Mytilus edulis: one gene and its partner. Each later gene encodes a partner of the first gene's protein in a complex. Links are inferred from orthologs where the notes say so. Each region holds a gene or a part of one and is shown on either strand. Other genes may lie near its edges. The genes, in order: NADH dehydrogenase [ubiquinone] iron-sulfur protein 3, mitochondrial-like; NADH dehydrogenase [ubiquinone] 1 alpha subcomplex subunit 5-like.

Region 1 (9,973 bases):
AACACCATACGAAGGGGCAGAGGGTGTGTTACTGCTGAGAAATGGGAAATTGATAATTGGGAAGTTGAAATCGTCCCGTTTATCATAGATTTTCGTGTGAAGTAGTCCATCTGTGTCAATATTGAGGAAAAGATCAAGGTATGAAGCAGTCCTTCTAGTATCAGTAGTATCCTTAATTTCAAGGTTCACGGGGATAAATGAGATGAAAGTATTGGCTGAAATATTGGTTATTCAATGATAGAATCATGAATATATCTAAAATTAAAATTCAAGAATTTTGCAAGGTGCTTTATCTTTTTGTCTTATAGAAGGTTCTGAATGAATTCTGCTTCATACGAGTGCAAAAACAAATCGGCCAGTAGGGGGTGCACAATTAGTACCCATTGGAATATCAATCCTACAAACTCAACAAATATATTGTCGATCGAAAAGTCCAGCATTTTGATAAAATTATCTTCAGTATATTTTCTGGTAGATTCAGTGCGTTCTTCTCTAAAGATGAATTATTGTAACCTAAAACAAGAAATCTGATCTACGATTCCCATTTTTATAGAAAAAGCTCTGTTTAATGAGATGGTGAAATCGATCTTTCAACTGAGCATGGGGAATAGTAGTGTAAAGCGTAGAAAAATCAAAAGTCTTTATGTTGCTGCAAAATTGAAAAAGATTGTGATCGAAGATTTAAAAGCAGCAGACAACCCTGGTAGAATACATATCATCACAATATTTTTTGAAGCCCATTTTTAACTGTAGAAAGAATAGTAGTCAGTACTTTAGAAAGATATTTAGTCGAACATTTTGATGACCCAGCTATGTATCGTTCTTTTTATGGAGTTTTGTGAAGTTTTGGTATCCAGTATAATGAAAAGATACCTAGTGTTGCCATTATTATAGGACACTGTAAGGCCTTCAACAATGAACAAAACATATATCGTATGTATATAGTCAGTTATTAAATACCCCACCATGATTATTGTGAAACTATTCAATAGAAAAAAAAATCAATTAACGGTTTGATTTAGAGCCAAAACAAATACTAAAAAAAGATATAACAGCTATAACACGTGACAGGAACCATCGACAATCAATGAATTCCAGAGTTCTTGTATTGGACAGGCCCATACTCTAATTTATATCTATGAAAGAATATAGTATGAATTTGAATAATTGAATAGTTGAACATAGATTAAGTTCATTGAAATCTGAAAAACCATTTCAGATAGGGCATAGCAAACAAGTTGGGAAAAGAACACAACGTAAGAAAGGTCAAAGGGAACTGCATGCCCATATTAAGCAATGATACATGTCAAGATGTGTCAATACCCATCTGATTGACGTAACAAGTACTGACGATGATGAAAATAAACTCATCATATATACCAGGATTGATAAGCCAGACTCACGTTTCGTCTACAAAAGACACATCAGTGACGCTCGATTCGAAAAATGTTAAAAAGGTTAAATAAAGTACGAAATTGAAGATCATTGAGGACCAATAATTCATAAAAGTTTTACCAAATACAGCTAAGGTAATCTAATCCTGAGGTAGAAAAGCCTTAGTATTTCAAACAAAACTTCAAAGTTTTGTTAACAGTCAATTCATAATTATGAACATACCAATGATAACTCAAGTCAACACGGAAGTGCTGACTACTGGGCTGGTGATACTCTTGGGGATTGGGGACTTAAAACTCCACCAGCAGTGGCATCGACCCAGTGGTTGTAAATGAACTCATCATAAATACCAGGATTGAAATGTTATATTAACGCCAGACGCGCGTTTCGTCTACAAAAGACTCATCAGTGACACTCGAATCGAAAAAAGTTAAAAAGGTCAAATAAAGTACGAAATTGAAGAGCATTGAGGACCGAAAATTCCTAAAAGTTTTGCCAAATACAGCTAAGGTAATATATTCCTGAGATAGGTGAACTTGGTAGTACGTAGACATTGCAAGGGTACCATATATACTACAATCAAATATAGTTTAAAATAAGCAATAGATATACCTTCTGTTTACAAGGTATGGAACATGCAGGTCATCTTGAATCGCCGGCGAGACAAAACGACCTGTCATGTGGTCTCTGGATTACTAGTATATATGCGGTTGATGGACTATAAATCTAACTGTGAACAAATTAATACTACACCTTACTTTTACCATATATTTAACATTGTCTGCAAGCGTTTGTTAAAAATTATTGCTTTGCAGAACCCTCTTCATGTCGATGTTCCTTATATTAACTGAATTTCACGATTTCTTCTTCTCAAAAAATCATTCGTAGAAATTGATTAATGTGCGGATTCAATTTAAAAAAAACCTTGTTTTTAATCTACATTTTGGTTTTATAACTTTGACCCTTCAGTAATCCCCTTTTTATTCATTTGTAGGACTTTTCATTTCTTTAAAGCAAACATATACTCAGAACTGCTATTTCAATCCATGCTGCTCTTCATTTTACACGTCAAGTTATTGAACAAAAAGAACAAATTTCACGAAAAGATAATCAATCGTTTACTCAGACAATGACGAACACCTTCTATCAAAAGACGGCATTTTTAGGGGCAACTTACAAATGTTATTACCAATAAAAAGACAACATATAAGTTTACTTGAATAACGTGTGTTATTTTGTTGACACTATCTTCTACTATTATCTACTACTTGGAAAAGTGCAGACCAAATATGTCATTTACAAACACAAAAAATTTGCTTAGAAATTGTAGAAGCCAATAACCTAATATGCATGCACATGATTATATAGATGATTTCTATGATAATCACATCTAAAATGCACAATGTTACAAGGAGTTTTTAACTTTTGTTGCGTATTCTTAATAACAAAGTTTCGAAAAAAATGATGTCACGTATGGGAAATAACATTGGATTACATAGCAAGGGATGACGTTATATACCAATGAGACAGCAACCCGAACCACAGATAACCTAACTCACTCAGAGGTTAATATTTAGTCCAACATTAGACAGCAACCCAAAACACAGATAACCTAACTCACTCAGAGGTTTATATTTAGTCCAACATTAGACAGCAACCCAAAACACAGATAATCTAACTCACTCATAGGTTAATAGTTAGTCCAACATTAGACAGGAACCCAAAACACAGATAACCTAACTCACTCAGAGGTTAATACATAGTCCAACATTAGACAGCAACCCAAAACACAGATAACCTAACTCACTCAGAGGTTAATAGTAAGTCCAACATTAGACAGGAACCCAAAACACAGATAACCTAACTCACTCAGAGGATAATACATAGTCCAACATTAGACAGCAACCCAAACCACAGATAACCTAACTCACTCAGAGGTTAATATTCAGTCCAACATTAGACAGCAACCCAAAACACAGATAACCTTACTCACTCAGAGGTTAATACATAGTCCAACATTAGTCAGCAATCCAAAACACAGATAACCTAACTCACTCAGAGGTTAATATTTAGTCCAACATTAGACAGCAATCCAAAACACAGATAACCTAACTCACTCAGAGGTTAATATTTAGTCCAACATTAGACAGGAACCCAAAACACAGATAACCTAATTCACTCAGAGGTTAATACATAGTCCAACATTAGACAGGAACCCAAAACACAGATAACTTACTCACTCAGAGGTTAATACATAGTCCAACATTAGACAGGAACCCAAAACACAGATAACCTAACTCATTCAGAGGTTAATACATAGTCCAACATTAGACAGCAACCCAAAACACAGATAACCTATCTCACTCAGAGGTCAATACATAGTACAACATTAGACAGAAACCCAAAACACAGATAACTTAACTCACTCAGAGAATAACATTTGGTCCAACATTAGACAGGAAACCAAAAGACAGATAACCTAACTCACTCAGAGGTCAATACATAGTCCAACATCAGACAGGAACCCAAAACACAGATAACCTAATTCACTCAGAGGTTTATACATAGTCCAACATTAGACAGGAACCCAAAACACAGATAACCTAACATACTCAGAGGTCAATACATAGTCCAACATTAGACTGGAACCCAAAACACACATAACCTCACTCACTCAGAGGTCAATACATAGTCCAACATTATATATATAGACAAGCAATTGCATTACTCAATAAAACTTATCTTTCATGATAACACGTGGTCCCACAATAAAGTGCACAAGTGAATCAATTAAACAAAATTATAAAATTCATTTTTTATGATCATAGCTAAAAATGTAATTATATTGAATGCTTCTTTTTGTAACTTCATAGGGTTGTAATAGCGTTGACCGTGCGCACATTTTTAGAAATACAAAATGTACTTCGGTCAACGCTTTTACACACCAATGAAGTTACGAAAAGAAGCATTCAATTCTTAAATAATGTATTATATGTAAATTGACTTGATCAGCCTAATTGTAGTAAATGTAATAATAACATCATAGTGTTTCCGTTTACAGAAGAAGATAAAACAAATGTATTTCTGTTCAAAGGGAGAAAAGTGCTGCTTGTTCTACTGTATATTTAACGTATAGACAATAGACAATATTTCATTAAGCACAAACACATTTACATTAAATGGTTATGGCATACAAAATTAAGACAATAAACTGACAATAGTTAAATTGATTATAATTATATTAGAGTGACAGTGGTATTCACAGCAAGAAGAAAAAGACTATAAATATCAACAGTTAACCCATTATTAATTTTCATGAACAATTAAAAAAAGAACACAAACAAAAATTAGGTTGCATATTAAAAGAAATACAAGTTATACAGATGTTCTCAATAAAAAACAATCATTAATATACTTTATGGTGATTTTTTTAATGACTGGTAGACTGCTATTTAAAAGTGCAGTCAAATGCTTCAGTGTTATAGTGGACTGCAATTTAATAAAATTGAAATTAAAATGTTTATTTATATTTTGTATATAGGTATCCCTCAATGATGTATAACATGGTATAACAGTTTGCCTGGCCTTTATATATATATATATATATATATTCCTCATAAAAACTGAATTAATTTATAAACAACGAATAATAGCCGTACTAAAAATGACCGTTTGATTTCTTTATTGCAAACATTTTAGATCGGTGCCTTGTCAGACCTTTACACGACACAATTTTTCTAGTTTCTCTCCCCGCATGTTTTATCCCCTAAGAAGGTCAAAATGGCGAGTCGATTTTGTCGACTTTTCCGACCTGCTGTAGTAACAAAGTTGTACCGAACACACTGTATGTGAAAATGAATTTAATAACAATTGGTTTTATGAAATATTTTTGACGATTTGAGTACGCTAGACAGCGGAACTTTAGCCTTCCTTATAACATATCTTTAATATGTCAGAGTTGAAACTGTCAACTGCCCTGGTCAAGTTATATTTTTTGACAATTTTTGTAACAAAGATAAATTGTCATAAAATTTCATTTTTGGTCAGCAACTGCCAAAGTTTATCAAAAGGACCTAACAGCTATGGTTCCATAGCTATCTATGATGGGGGTCTCATTTGGGGGTTCCGATCCTGGATCCCGCTTACTGTTTTGTCAGATTTCCGTATCCCGCTTACACTATGTACGTAAGCAATTCTCATTTTTTTTTGTCATTTCCCTGGTCCTGCTAGACCTCATTTCCCGTTTTCATGACACAATAATCATGATAATTTGACTTTCACATGTCACGTTTACAAAAAATCGGTGATCCCGTGTCACGCTTGGACCCCAATGAGACCCACTAATGCTCAGAATAATTGTCAAAAAGTAACATAATAATTACATTAGAACCACATATAGTCCCAGATAACTCTGACTTCCAACAGCTGTTTTGCCAGACAGGCTGGGGCCGTGGGACGTCAGAGCTCGTCCCATATCAAAAACTGGATATTTGCCCATCCAAAATAGATGCACTGCTTTGTCGCTTCTGGTGCCAACTAACGGCCTTGGAATTAATATATAAAATGGGTATCAATTAGATCATTTTTCATTTATCTCTTCATTTATGTAAGCTTCACCTACTGGACACCCTTTATTTTTCCATATTTAAACAGTTTTCACAGTTACCCATCGATTCAGACATTTTTACTTTTATTTTCAAAAGGATGTCAGATTATCATGTGACCACGAGAAAAAAGTGATGATTTATATCAAATGACCATAATCGAAATCCTCCGACCTCGTTCATTTACGATGCAAGTAATCTAAATGTTTGAGAGCTTCCGATTGTTATTGTGCAGTGATCTGGAAGGATTTTTTCTCTATGGGCCCAGGGCCCCTCAAAATTAAATTCAAGGGGCCATTTAAAAAAATAATGGGCCATGTCAAATGAATGGGCCATTTGAATCGACTACAGTGAAAAAAGTGAAAAGTGTATATCTCGGCAAAGAGATGGTGGTACTTACCTTTATGATTTTAAATAATATTATAGATATTGTGCCTGTGATTTTGTTATTTCAATTCAACAAAGAATGTAAAATAATTTCTTCCAAACCAGATAATATTTAAGATATCCTTTATTTACAATGTTTCTACTGCTACTGTTGTCTTGTTCATGTGCATGGGTTTTTTTTTTACATTAAATTTGGGTCTTCGTCGATTCCATACTTATTCCCGACGTTCCGTATTAGAGGACGTATTTGGCATTTCCTCTGCACTTCTTGTATTATTATTACTTCATCACGATGACAACAATAACATTAGAGAGTATCATTAATTGATAAAACAAAGCAACAATTCGCTGAAGGCATGTTTACAAAATGTCAAAACAAGCCAAAGACCAAAAAGTGACAAGGACAGTTAGTTGCCTTTTATGGAGACAAAAACTATATTCATAAAAAGGCTTTGGGGTTTTTTCAATCGAAATAGTAGCAAGCTGAACTAAGTTAAAAGATAATAATTAGAGACAAATATCGTCTGTACTAGCCAAATTTTACAAATTTAAGGTTGTAAAAAATCATATCATGAATGATGGTTAATTACGTTTTTTGGGTAATCAGTTACACCCCATGGTTCTATTATTTCCATAGGAAAACACACGAGACGTCCCAAAAATATATAGGTGCTCCTATCATTGGAGGAACATTACACAGTTGTGTACACACACATGGCGGCACGGAACACGATCGGAAATCCATTTGACGATATCTAAACTTATCGAAACGAAGTGAAAAATATCGTGCGCCACGTGGGCGCTTACATACATTGTAAGTCACTCTATGCGCCATTTCTGGTCGATATGCGCTATAGGCGCACGACCTTCCCGATCACTGATTGTGGTTGGCACTAAATGCTTAATACCAATCTCCTGTAAAGGAGGTGAAAAAATCGTGTTTGGCTACTGAATGTTAAACATTGATCTCCTATAAAGGAGTTGAAAAAAGTATAAATATTTGTATATTTGAGTCTCGAGGTCGCAAAATCTCTCGTAACTTGACATCCTTTAGAAAATAAAAGTAAAAATATCTGAATTGATGGGTCAATGTGAAAACTTTCAATATGGAAAAATAAAGGGTTGCAGGTAGGTGAGGCTTACATTTTGTACATAAATGAAGAGATAAACAAAAAATGAACAAATTGATACCTGTTTTATATTATTTCAAGGCCATTAGTTGGCACCAGAAGCAATGAAGCAGCGCATCTACATGTATTTTTGGATGGGCAAATATCCACTTTTTGATATGGGACAAGCAGTGATGTCCCACGGCCCCAGCTTGTCTGGCAAAACAGCCGTTGGATGTCAGGGTAATCTCGGACTAGGCCTAACATGGACCGAATTCTTCTGTCATAGGACTAAACTTCTTCCCATTTCAGTGTTCCTCGTTAATACTATTCAAAAATATATTTACCATGTTTACAGATTTGCACTTACTGTTTCTTTTGACAGTCTATACGTAGAAACAGATGAAATACTCTGTCCACTTACATGTAGTTACACCCTTTAACTCAACTAGTTTTGTGTAGATGTCTATTGTCCTTTCTCAGCACAGTAGTGATATGAAAAATTATCGCTAAAAACTATGCTCAGCTCACATGCCCATGTCAATATAAACATCAACATCGTCATAGATAAAATAGCAATAAACAGATTATCATTGATCATCTCAACTAGTAAATAGGTTTTGTCACTTTACCTTTTAGAACCTTTTTACTTCACAAGTTATTGAATTTTTGAAAAATATAATCCAGTGAACAAAAATTTTCAAATTGGAAAATTAGTATGTTGTTTAGAATAAAATAGTATTATACAGTTATACTAAGAGCTATTTTAATACTTTGTTATCTGTTTTAAATTTTGTTTGACCTTGAATATCTGTTGAAATTTCACATTTTAGAAGCAAAAATTAACAAAATACACACACAAGAATTTTACTTTATTGAACATTAATTTTTCTTTTTTAGTACTAAAAGCTAATCCAGTTGTTGCACAGTGTCAGAGATTACAGACAACAGATTCTACAAACCAAACATCTCGTAATTATTATTTTTACTGTTAAAGGGAAAAGTTTTTTTGGGGTTTTAATTTTGATTATTATGAGTAACATAATTTATGTAATATTTTTTAAATTAGTCTGAAATTAGTTGACTATATATATGACATTTGAAAATAAAACCAGAAATAACTTTTGACTTAATTTTAAAAATATTATATTTATATAACCATGATAACCTGCTGTAGACTGAGAAGTATTCCTTATGAAACCACACAAAATTAAACTTGATTATAGGAATTAAATGGGATTTGTGAATTATGTGAAATGAAAGAAAAAAATAATGGATAGGATAAGCTGGTTTAAATGTATTTTGAGATACAAATGTAGTATACAATAAAACATCACCAACATACATCATATATATATATAAGACCATAGGATTGTTGCATGTTTATATGGTATAAGTTTACCACAAACTCTCTTGTCAAGTTTTAAAAGAAAAGTTTTTATGATAATTGTTTTCCATTTGGCATGATAACTGCAAAAATTTATATATTGTAAATATTACTAGTACTGTAACTGTTCATTTTCTTCTCACAATTTGTGTCTATTTGGTTATATTTTGAACATTTCTAGTAAAAGCTATAGAAAAAATAAATATTATTAAAGTGTATGGTGTTTTTTGATTCATTGGATATGAATAAGCAAGGATATTAGCACTGCCATTAGTTTCTGGACCTATGGCCATCATGGCCGATGATCAGGATATGAAAATATGGATAATCAAAAAGAAAGTAGCCCATTTATAAAACATGTCAAATAATCTTATAAAGTGACTGTGAAGGCAAAATTAGTCATCAGCTGTCTTGAAATGAATTTTATATGACAATAAAACTTTCATTTTTGAAAAATCCACAGGACCCAAAATGTGAAACTAAACTAACTGTGTATTGCTACCCAAATATCTTTGCAAATTGTTAGGTTTATAAAAAAAATGATTGGGTAAAATTTAACCAATTTCACATGTTGAATCATATAAACATGATTAACTTTTGAAATTGTTTAAAAAAAATGTGAAATGTAAAAAAAAAATCTTACATAGGTACACTGAACACCTCAGAGTCAAAACAGACATTCAAATGAGATATAAAGCACACACATACTCAGATATAAAGCACACACATACTCAGATATAAAGCACGCACATACTCATTCAAATGAGATATAAAGCACACTCATACTCATTCAAACAATATAGTAGCAGATTCAAAACACTTATGACAATATAAGAGAAGCATAAGATCCTATCAAACTTTAGATCCCCAATGGAAAAAGTTGGCAGATATGCATAATTAATCTGTTATTAATATTGAACTTAAATAATAATTGTAATTTACAAAAAAATGAAAATACTCATGATAATATGTTGAAACAGTCTATAATAATATTTGACCCCTTGGATATATTTAGTCCTAGACTTGGTGAAATCAGAAGCATAATTTAAATAATCTTGTATATTTCAGCCACAGTGAGACCTCAGAACTTA
Region 2 (9,988 bases), on another chromosome or scaffold:
AATTGCAATTTGTTTTATAAAATCAAATTGTTCAAATGGTCAGAATATTGAACAAATTGTTCAGTCAAAATGTGAAAGTGTGGTTTTCTACAGCAGTTGGTTCAAATTTCTGACCAGTTGAACAATTTGGTTTAATAAAACAAATTGCAATTTGGTCAAAATTTTGAATGAATTGCAATTGGTGGATAGCAACACTTACAGTCAAGTCACTGTAATACTATAGTATTAGAGTCATACACTGCATGCACTGGGCTCCTTGCTCAATTTCAACTGTGAATACTATTAAAGAAAAAACATTCAAATTCAAATTTGAATTCTTTATTAACTTTGAGCATTACAGCTCATCATTGTATTCATTGTATTCATATTGCATACACACAAATCACATTGATCAACATTTTCTTATCTTAAAGGTACCATAGAATTAGAAATGTGTTTTGAAAAATGCTGGTTTTTACAGGTAAATATTAGCTCTAGGATTTTCAAGTTACACTTAACATCAATCCTTCCTGGGTATTGGAACATTACCAAACACTGGGAAAATTGCATAAAAGATGTATTACCATCAGTCGAATCAAATTTGAATTATCTGCATTGTCATTAAGTTTCCATTAACTTTTCCAGTTTTCTCTTTCATTGAATCAAGCATATTAAATTTCCCATTATTTGTACAGAACACATTTTATATTATTTTCCAAACTTATTTTGAATGACAATAAAGATAAATTTTCTGATTTGTCATAACTTAATGCCCACTGAAGTTTTTTATTTTCTTCCCAATATTGTAAAGAATCTATGGCTGTATTGCTTTAATTTTGGTATTTTAGGTTGAAAACAGAAAACATTGTAAATGTTCGATCTATCATTCAATTAAAGCACAAAAAATCATTCAAGTTCTTGAACTATTTGTTTTTATAAACTGTTTCAAATAAATTTGGTCCATGTTGTCCATATTTTTAGGGGGAAAAATCCATAAGCAACAAATTAATTTAGTGAGGCCTTGGCCAGATGAATCAACAAATTGATAATTTCTTGTGACATTGCATCTGTTGCTAGGTGATGTCTTGAGGTATAATAAACCAAAACCTGTTCAAATTATTAAAATTGGCAAACGTTGAATGATATTTGTGGGAAGTAAGAGCCAGGTTTAAAAGGAGTAAGATTCATTAGGCCCTTATATTTCCAACTAATTTTCAAAAAGAGGCTCCAGATACCAAAGTGACATTCAAATTATTGAGTGGAAAAATACAGAGGCGGATTTAGGGGGGGGGGGGTAAACAGGCCCCCCCCCCCCTTTTTGGAAAAAAAATTGGTTGCTTATATAGGGAATCACTGAAGCCTGACTGGAGCGGGGCCCCTCTTAGGTCAGTCAGTGGGCCCCCACTTATGAAAATTTCTGGATCCGCCACTGAAATAAACTGATGACATTATGACAAAAATAGTAAGACTTATAATGGTGTCATAATAATCAAAATAACTGTTCCCCCATATTCAATAATACATAAAAATTAAGAATGCACATTCCCTTGGGTTTTTTGGCCAGAAATATAAAGGATATGTGTCAGCAACAAATCTTTTTCAACATTATGCTTGTTAAAACAAATGAACTATCTCACAAAATGAACCTACACTCTATGTTTCCTTAATTATGGTTTAAATTAAGAAGCTACTGTAATACTTCTCAAAAATCTTCGTGAAAAATAGAAAAACTTTGTAAGAAAAACTTTATAAAGATAGTCCCATTTTATCTCTCACTCATATATATACAAATATATTCTTTTCAACTTGAAATCCCTGAAATGTCCAGAAAGGACCCTTCTTACAATTGTTTGGATTGTTCACATGGGGGGGGGGGGGGGGGGGTTACTATTTGCTGGGTTTAATATCCATACAAACCTGAGGTTGTCTCTGAGTTCTTATGGAAAGTAAACCAGGCAAATAGTAACAAACCCCTTTTGATTGTTTAATGAATTTTGAAGCCCTCAAAACCTTAAGTTATCAAAGAATGGTTTTATATAAATCCACTGATAAAATTTCTTGAAAAAAGAAGTTAAAGGTACCGGTATGCAACCTTGTCCATTTGGAATGTAAAAGTGAAATGGAGTTGCAAAGGTTTTTCAAGCCAAAAACAACTATATGCATGTCAAGAGTGAGCTATTATAGTATGCATGCAGTGTTTTTATAATGGCCCTGTTATATATCCAAGGTCTGTAATAATGGTTGAGAAAGTCTGTAATGGCCCAATAAATTAACAGTGGCGGATCCAGACCTTTCCATAAGTAGGGCCCGCTGACTGACTTAAGGGAGGGGGCCTGGCCCACTTCAGTCATGCTTCTGTTATTCCCTATATAATCAACAAAATTTTCCCACAAAAGGGTGGGCCCGGGGCCCCCCAGCCCCCCTTCTGAATCTGTTTATTTTTTACCTTTAAAATGTTTTTATAGTTGGCTAAAATATCCTGTGCTGATTGGTAAATAATCGGTGTTGTGACATCTGATTTGATTTGAAATAACAAAAAAGACTTTTGCCAAGATAAGTGACGGGATTTCTTGTAAAGATTTTTCAATAAAAAAGTTATTTTACAATATATTTCAAATATTATTTTATTTTGTTTAATTTGAACAATTACTCAATAATATAATTTTAATTTTAAGAATTACCATAAATATTTCATGATTCATATGCATAACATGGGTACTTATAGTAAAAAATAAAAATAAAATAAATTATAAAAACAACAACATATAAATTGCATGTTAAAATAATAACATAATAGTTATCATGTCATACCATTATTATTGGTCTCATAAATCTTAATAATTGAATAGCAGAAACAAGTTCTCATAGAATATTGGTATAGATCAATGTCTGCAATCTTATAAAGTATCATGCCATAGTTTCATCAATAGAATTCATAGATTTTTACCAATACCATCTGAATATGCAGTAATAGTCTGTCATAATATCATTTAAGGTGAATCATTGATTTCCTTGTAGAATTTCTAATTTTCATCCTGATATTACATCTGCTATCAACAATTTACATAAATAAATAATTAAAAACACTCTTTTTCTAATGTTTACAAAAAATAATGCATATTTTGGGATTTTTTTATGCATAAATGACAAAATAAAATTGCACCTTATTTTTAGGTGCTTTGTAGCAAATGTGTAGCATATTGTTTTACTTACATGTATAATATGGCATGGTTTTGGATATCAATAAAGGTATCCAGGAATTTGTACTGTAAGCCTGCAGGAAGCTGGCTGGATTATTCCATATCCTAAAGAAAGGGAAAACAAGACAAAAAGATCAATAATATGTCCCATTGATTATTAGTTATTATTTAATGAGGTATTGTAAAGTAAAATTGATCTAATGTGTGATATAGAATTATATAAAAATAACCAGTAAATAGTATCAATCAATATTGGAAATTTAGAAAACAATTTCAAACAATTTAAGCACAAAATTTCGGTTATTTGCAATCAATATATGTGCCATAAAATATTTCTGTTAATGTTTCAATCACGGTAACAAAATGCAGTTCTCCAATAACAATAACATAATTTCCTTAAATAATTAGTTGTTTAAACAAATAAGTAAACGAATTTTTTTTAAAATAAATAAACAAATATCTTATAAATTTTTTTTTTTTTAAATTTAACAAAACATTAACACTATACTGATTATAAAATTTAAAGGGGCACCAGCTGTCAAATTCATGGTCAACAATTTGACTCAAGTTCTCATATTTGATTTATAACAATGTAAAACATTTATCTAAATTATCAAAAGTCTAAAATAAACAGTTTACAGAGCATGGGGTAGATAATATATAGGTTCGTTTCGAGTGTATTTTAGTCCAGACGCCATCTAATTAACTCTCAATTTGACCTCAGATGACCATATAAGCGATGTAAACATAAATAAAGATATGAATAGATTAAACCAATATGTGCAATTGGATTTTTATAGGTCTGTTTGATTTTATTTTATAGATTAAAAATAGATGTTTCTCATTGCTTTTAATCGTATAAGAATGATTTTATGTGCATCGAATTAGTAATCAAATGAATTACTGTAGTTTCACTTTCATTGTTGACATTCTTTTTCTTTAAATAACCAAGTACACGTACAATGCATGTGTTGTCAATCTCTAGCAAGAGGTTAAATTGAAGTTCACATGAATACGGATTTAAAGAGGTTGACTCATTCACTTGCAAGTGAATAACTAATTATCAATGTTTTTTAGCGTAATTTGACAAAATTGAACCTTTTTGGCTGCAAAAAGCGAATTGTTATTTCACTTTCATTATTGATTGAACAAAAAAAATCAAACTTTAGACTTTTTATATATCTTATAGCTAGTGCCCCTTTAAATTTTACAATGATTTTACATCACAGAAAAGAGATAAAATTATTTTAACCAGGTGCTCCGCAGGGCGTAGCTTTATACGACCCCAGTGGTCGAACCCTGAACAGTTGGGGCAAATTTGGTCACAATATTCAAGCTCGATACTGTCTGAATTTTGAATGTGATCAAATTTTTGACATAATATAGATTTTTGCCACAATTAATTAATGTGGCTCAAGATCTAACACATCTATTGCACAATACTGTGCAATTGAATATTTATTATTGAAACTTTTCAAAATTTGAAAAATGTTGAAAAAAAAAAAAAAAAAATCCCTTAAAAAAATGGTAAACTGAGACCCCCGCCCCCCAATTTATTGAAACCTCCCCCTTGGAGAAATAACCCTTAAACTCAATACCATGCTTTCCTTTGTAATATTGAACCTTGTAGTACAATTTCAGAGAGATCCATACACTTAAACACAAGTTATTGTCATGATTGTTTGGAAACTAGAAACATGCTTCTTTTTGGCCCTTAATTCCTAAACTTTGGCCCCATAACCCCTTAAATGAATCCAAACCTTCTACTTGTGATTTTAAACATTGCAGTATACTTTCAGAGCAATTGAAATACTGGTAAACAAGTTATTATCCTGAAACTAGAAAAATGCTTGTTTTGGCCCCTTTTGGGCCCCTAATTCCTAAACGGTTTGGACCATCATCCCCAAAATAAATCCCAACCTTCATTTTGTGGTATTGAACCTTCTGAAAAAAAATCATTAAGATCTATTCACTTAAACTAAAGTTATTATCGGGAAACCAAAGTGTCTTCGGACGACAACAACGCAGACAACGCTGACGACGCAGACGACGACATCATACCATTATACGAACCCAAAATTTTTTTGGGGTCGTATAAAAAATAGTGTTAACAAAAAGGAACTTAGTTTCTGTGTCATTTGGTCTCTTTTGAAGAGTTGTCTCATTGGGCAATCATTAACCTCATTTTCTTATTCCTATATTGTAAATTGATCAAAGACTTTAATGGCCAGGTATTTGAGACTGTTCTTTAACAAAGAAGAAAGGTCTTCATTAATCTATTTTCTCGCTGCATTGAAGACCCAATAATGGCCTTCAGCTGTTATCTGCTCTTTGGTTAGGTTGTTGTTTCTTGTCATATTCCCCATTGCCATTCTCAAAGAAAGGTCTTCACTAATATTTAATAAATTGAGAATGGCAATGGGATAATGACATCAGACATCGAGTTACTCGATTTGCCCTTGAAGAATAAACAATAGTCAATACCAGAGACATATAAATACAGTATACATGTCTCTGTCACTACGTAGTGCAGTTTGTTCCCATTGTTAAATTGTGAGCATTTTTCTGACTAATGATTTTCATCAGTAAATTGGTTATTACTATTTTGTTTGCTTATTTCTTCCATAGTCGGTTCAAGTGGTTAATTCTAGATGACAGTTCGTAGTAACTGAGTATTGTACGTCGGTAAGAAAGTTGTTGATCAAAATCATTAATATGGCGGGAAAACCGTGAAAAGATAGAAAAATGCTGAGATGTTCCGAAATATATAAACTTCCGGTAGAAATGGCAGGCTACCTGAAAAAAGTAAATTATATGTAGTTTAGGCGATAAGCAATGATTGTACATTGAATTATTTTTTATATATACCTTGTCTGATAGAGACTCTCATTTTTGACTCGAATTTACAAGGAAAAATATAATGACTTGACTAAACGTAAAAGTCCATTTATTTGAAGCAGAAAGATGTGTCCTTGAGAAGTTATTTAATATTTTCTTATTTTGTCAAACATTTGGAAACATCTAAACGTACACTTACAAAAACTAGCATATTAAGAGGTTTTAACAAAACTGTAAGCCAAAAAAGTGTCCCATGAAATTGTGTCCTCTAGAACATTATTTCACAGTTCATCTGTGAAATTTTGTTCATGGGACAGAATATCACATTTTTTAACTATAAAATCGTGTCCCCCTAGGTGAAAAATTGTCCCTAGTACTTGCACATAATTTCATGGATGTTTTATAAAAATATGTCACAAAAGACAATATTTCATAGTGTAGCTATTTTTTTCTGTCCCTAAAGAAGGGAAATAATTTAGCAATCATTGAAATGTTTTAATCAATTAGTTAAATCATAATTGAAATTTAAATAAAGACAACACAGATGTAAACAAAAATGGAAAGTGGTGAATATAAACAGCTATATGACTTTCTGTGTGATGATCAATACCCTCCAGAGTTTGAAAATAATGATAGAAGATCATTTAGAAGGAAGGTAAAGCAGTTTCAAATTAAAAGCAATGAAATGTATTATATACATGTTGACAAAAAAAACACAAGAGAAAACATTAAAACTTGTAATTCAAAGATGTTAAAACATCATGATTTCATTATGAAAAAATGTCCAACGAAGGTCACAATAGAATCTCTTGTCAAGGGACACTTTTACATAGAAGGGGACAATATTCTATAATAAAATTATGTCCTGGACCAAATTTCATAGGTTATATCTGTGAAATTTTGTCCATGGGACATCATTTCATGGGGGACACTATTTAATCCTACTTTACCTGTGAAAGGGGACGAAATTCACAAAACTTCGGAAAACTTTATATCTCATGTACATCATACAGTCATGACAGTGTATGTATAAACATTTATAGTAAAAATATGTTGCAGCCAAGGATCCGGAAATTGTTTCACCTAATTTCGGTCATTTTGGATAACTTAAAGTTGGTGCCCTTTTTCAAACAAAGATTGTGTGTATGCTCATACAGTCATACTCGTAGCATTAACGAACTTGTTTAACTGTTGCATCGCATTTACTTCAGAAATTTCCCTACCATTTTCCTTAAAATCGATCTTGAGCAATAAAAGGAAGGCAACAGTTTAAAAATGAAATGATTTTAATGACTCAAAACGATAAATTTATCAAACTTCGCTTACGTTTCTTTCGATTTGGAAGCCAAAATTATAACCGGATGTTTTACGACAATAGTAAAACGACCAATTCCGGACTCATTTCCGGGATAAGTTTTGTTTAAATTCACAGGAAATCGTCGGCTTTTTAACTGTTTTACCTTTAATAGTGTTTGAATATTAATTATAATAGTTGGACTTGTTTAATTTAGCATGAAATCATTTTGAATTTACGATTTAGTGTCTAATTTGCGGAATAGAATTTCAAGCATGCGTATTAGTAAACAAAGCATGTGTGTTTGTAGTGAAACAATATTTTGTTCTCTGAAATTAATTTAATTTTAATTTAATTTTAAATCAGAATTGACAATTGTCTAAGCTGAGAAAAGTAATAAAATAATGCAGACAGTTGTTATGAACTTTTAATTTCTTTAAATTATTAGTTCTGAGCTCGTGATCAATAAAAAAATTAATTAAAAACACAGGTAAAGAGATTAGCGATCATTAGCCAATATTTCCCAGAGGCATTACTATAGTTATTAGGAGGGCCCTCAGGATTATAACACTTTACTGGAGTGGCAGTTTTATTACAGGAAAAGGATAACAAACAAAAAATAAGTTCAAAATGGCGATTTAGACAATGTTAGAAACTCGATCTCAACGAAATGACATTGAAGACCGAAATTATTTCTGTAAAAAAAATGAAATTTGTCCTAAATCCCAATTACTCATTTAGGACAAAATACTTTCAGTTTAGGTCAAGACTGGCATATATGACCGTTTCCGGACCCTTGGTTGCAGCATAATTTCTGGTATACATGTAGAGTATCTGAATTACTGAAACATATCAGATTTTGGTGCCTAATTTAGGAATTTTATATATGACATCATTTTCATTGTAAGCAGTTGTTGACATGATATGGGTTATGTTCTCATATATTTTATGATGGGTAATACTAAACATCTAACAGGAGGGATTGTGCTTGATATTCTCCGTCTTTTCTTTTCTTTACTGTGCTCGGCTCCTGTGGAGTATTATCAAACAATCAGACTATGCACAGTTTAAATCTGAGTCATTTAATTTGAGACAGACGAAAAGCAGGTTTAAAAACAAGTTGGTCCTTAGAAGTGTACATGCTTATTCTCTCCTTGAACAACTTGAGTTTCAAAAGAACTATACCAGCGGGGAAGAATGAGTCCTGGTAGCTGTATGTGGTATGAGCTACTTGCTGAAATTTCTATGTGTGTCCATTGGTTGTCAGGTAAACCACATGTAGCGATAGTGATGGTATTTTGATCAGTTGGTTGAAGACACAAAATATCATGATGCAGTGGGACTTGTATCTTAATGACTGTAGTTGTTGGAACATTGCTGTTACACTGCTATCTCTCCTGTAGTCATAATGATGAATGTATAGATTCAATGGCTGTCATATGTTGTTTGGTTGAACCGAAGTATTCAATCTGTGGGTGAACTAGTGTCTTGTAGCTTGTTTCTTTGATGTTTTTGGGTAACTGGTTATGTTTCTTCTCAAGAATCCCAAGGAGTTGTTTTACCTTTTTCATGATCTTACTGTCAATTGTAAAGCTTAAGTAGTTCGCCCAATCTGTTATTTGTAAAACATGGCCATGAATGGAATAGTTGTCGTCAGTTATTTTCTGCTAGTAGATTATGCGGATGACTTCACATTTTTCTGGGTTGCAGCTCATCATCCAGTCTTTCTCCCAATATTGCAGTTGGTCATGAGCTTTTTGTAATATCTTGCGAGCCCTCAAGAGGCAATCTTCTGCAATTAGTCTAGTTCAAGACTATGTAGACTTTAGATGGTAGGTCATTTATAGAAATACAATTGTAGTAAATAACTGGGTACTAATAGTTTCACTCCCAGGACTGTTCCTGGCATGGGGCACTCCAAATGTTACAGGAGCTTGCTTTTTGGGGTCAAGAATAAGATTGCAATCAGAGCCATTGCATCCCTATTGTCATTAAAAATACATGTATCTGGTTAGCGATATTTAGCTGTATTGTAAGCCTTTTCTAGATCTGTATCTGTGTTTGTGAGTAAATAAGCATAGTAAAATGGATGTAAATTCTTTACATGTTTGTAGATCCTATTCATGCCCATACATGTATAATATATACTCAGATAGACTAGTTACAATATGATGTGTACATGTAAGTGTTATCACCATACAATGTTGGTACATGTACTTGTGAAGAAAAGTATTTTCTTGAAAACTTACCTAGTTGCAGGCAGTATGTCATACATGTAGATTATGAATTAAACTGCTTTTACCTTCAAATGTGGACTAAGAAAGATAACCCATTTCAAAATATTGCATAATTATATTTCTTTGCTTAAATAATATATATACAATGCAATGTTTAACCTTTCCATTTCAATTCCTGATGAATGCAAATTTTTCCCCCTCAGTGCCTGCAAGTACATTTTACTGTGACTTTCATTTTCACAGCATCACAGCTTGATTTTAAAAAAAATTATCATTGTTTTTCTTGAACATGTAAGAAATCATAATCTTTCAGTCAGTTTAGTTGAAGTCTGGAGCTGGCATGTCAGTTAACTGCTAGTAGTCTGTTGTTATTTATGTATTATTGTCATTTTGTTTATTTTCTTTGGTTACATCTTCTGACATCAGACTCGGATTTCTCT

Evidence for each region.
Region 2: the proteins of NADH dehydrogenase [ubiquinone] iron-sulfur protein 3, mitochondrial-like (region 1) and NADH dehydrogenase [ubiquinone] 1 alpha subcomplex subunit 5-like are in contact, whole or in part, in a cryo-EM structure (PDB 8ESW), measured with the Drosophila melanogaster proteins. The link is inferred for Mytilus edulis from reciprocal best matches to the Drosophila melanogaster genes ND-30 and ND-13B. Residues at the interface, in NP_647775.1 of Drosophila melanogaster: Tyr66, Glu69, Cys70, Leu71, Pro72, Lys73, Tyr74, Val75, Gln76, Lys77, Leu89, Ile90, Ala91, Pro92, Glu93, Val96, Pro97, Gln100, Phe101, Asp104, His105, His106, Gln107, Gln109, Val119, Val121, Cys123, Arg124, Asn126, Glu129; in NP_648409.1 of Drosophila melanogaster: Tyr28, Ser43, Tyr44, Tyr47, Thr48, Leu51, Arg55, Cys74, Gly75, Glu79, Gln83, Ala84, Asn86, Glu87, Ile89, Leu90, Lys93, Met94, Trp97, Lys98, Pro99, Trp100, Glu101, Lys102, Leu103, Val104, Gln105, Ala106, Ala107, Pro108.

The regions. Positions count from the first base shown.
Region 1 is NC_092348.1:8,636,326-8,646,298, forward strand, and holds the start of NADH dehydrogenase [ubiquinone] iron-sulfur protein 3, mitochondrial-like, read left to right. Parts: upstream 1-5,109; 5' UTR 5,110-5,175; coding exon 5,176-5,239; intron 5,240-8,395; coding exon 8,396-8,467; intron 8,468-9,950; coding exon 9,951-9,973. UniProt on the Drosophila melanogaster protein: Core subunit of the mitochondrial membrane respiratory chain NADH dehydrogenase (Complex I) that is believed to belong to the minimal assembly required for catalysis. Complex I functions in the transfer of electrons from NADH to the respiratory chain.
Region 2 is NC_092344.1:97,505,857-97,515,844, reverse strand, and holds the start of NADH dehydrogenase [ubiquinone] 1 alpha subcomplex subunit 5-like, read left to right. Parts: upstream 1-5,891; 5' UTR 5,892-5,924; coding exon 5,925-5,984; intron 5,985-9,988.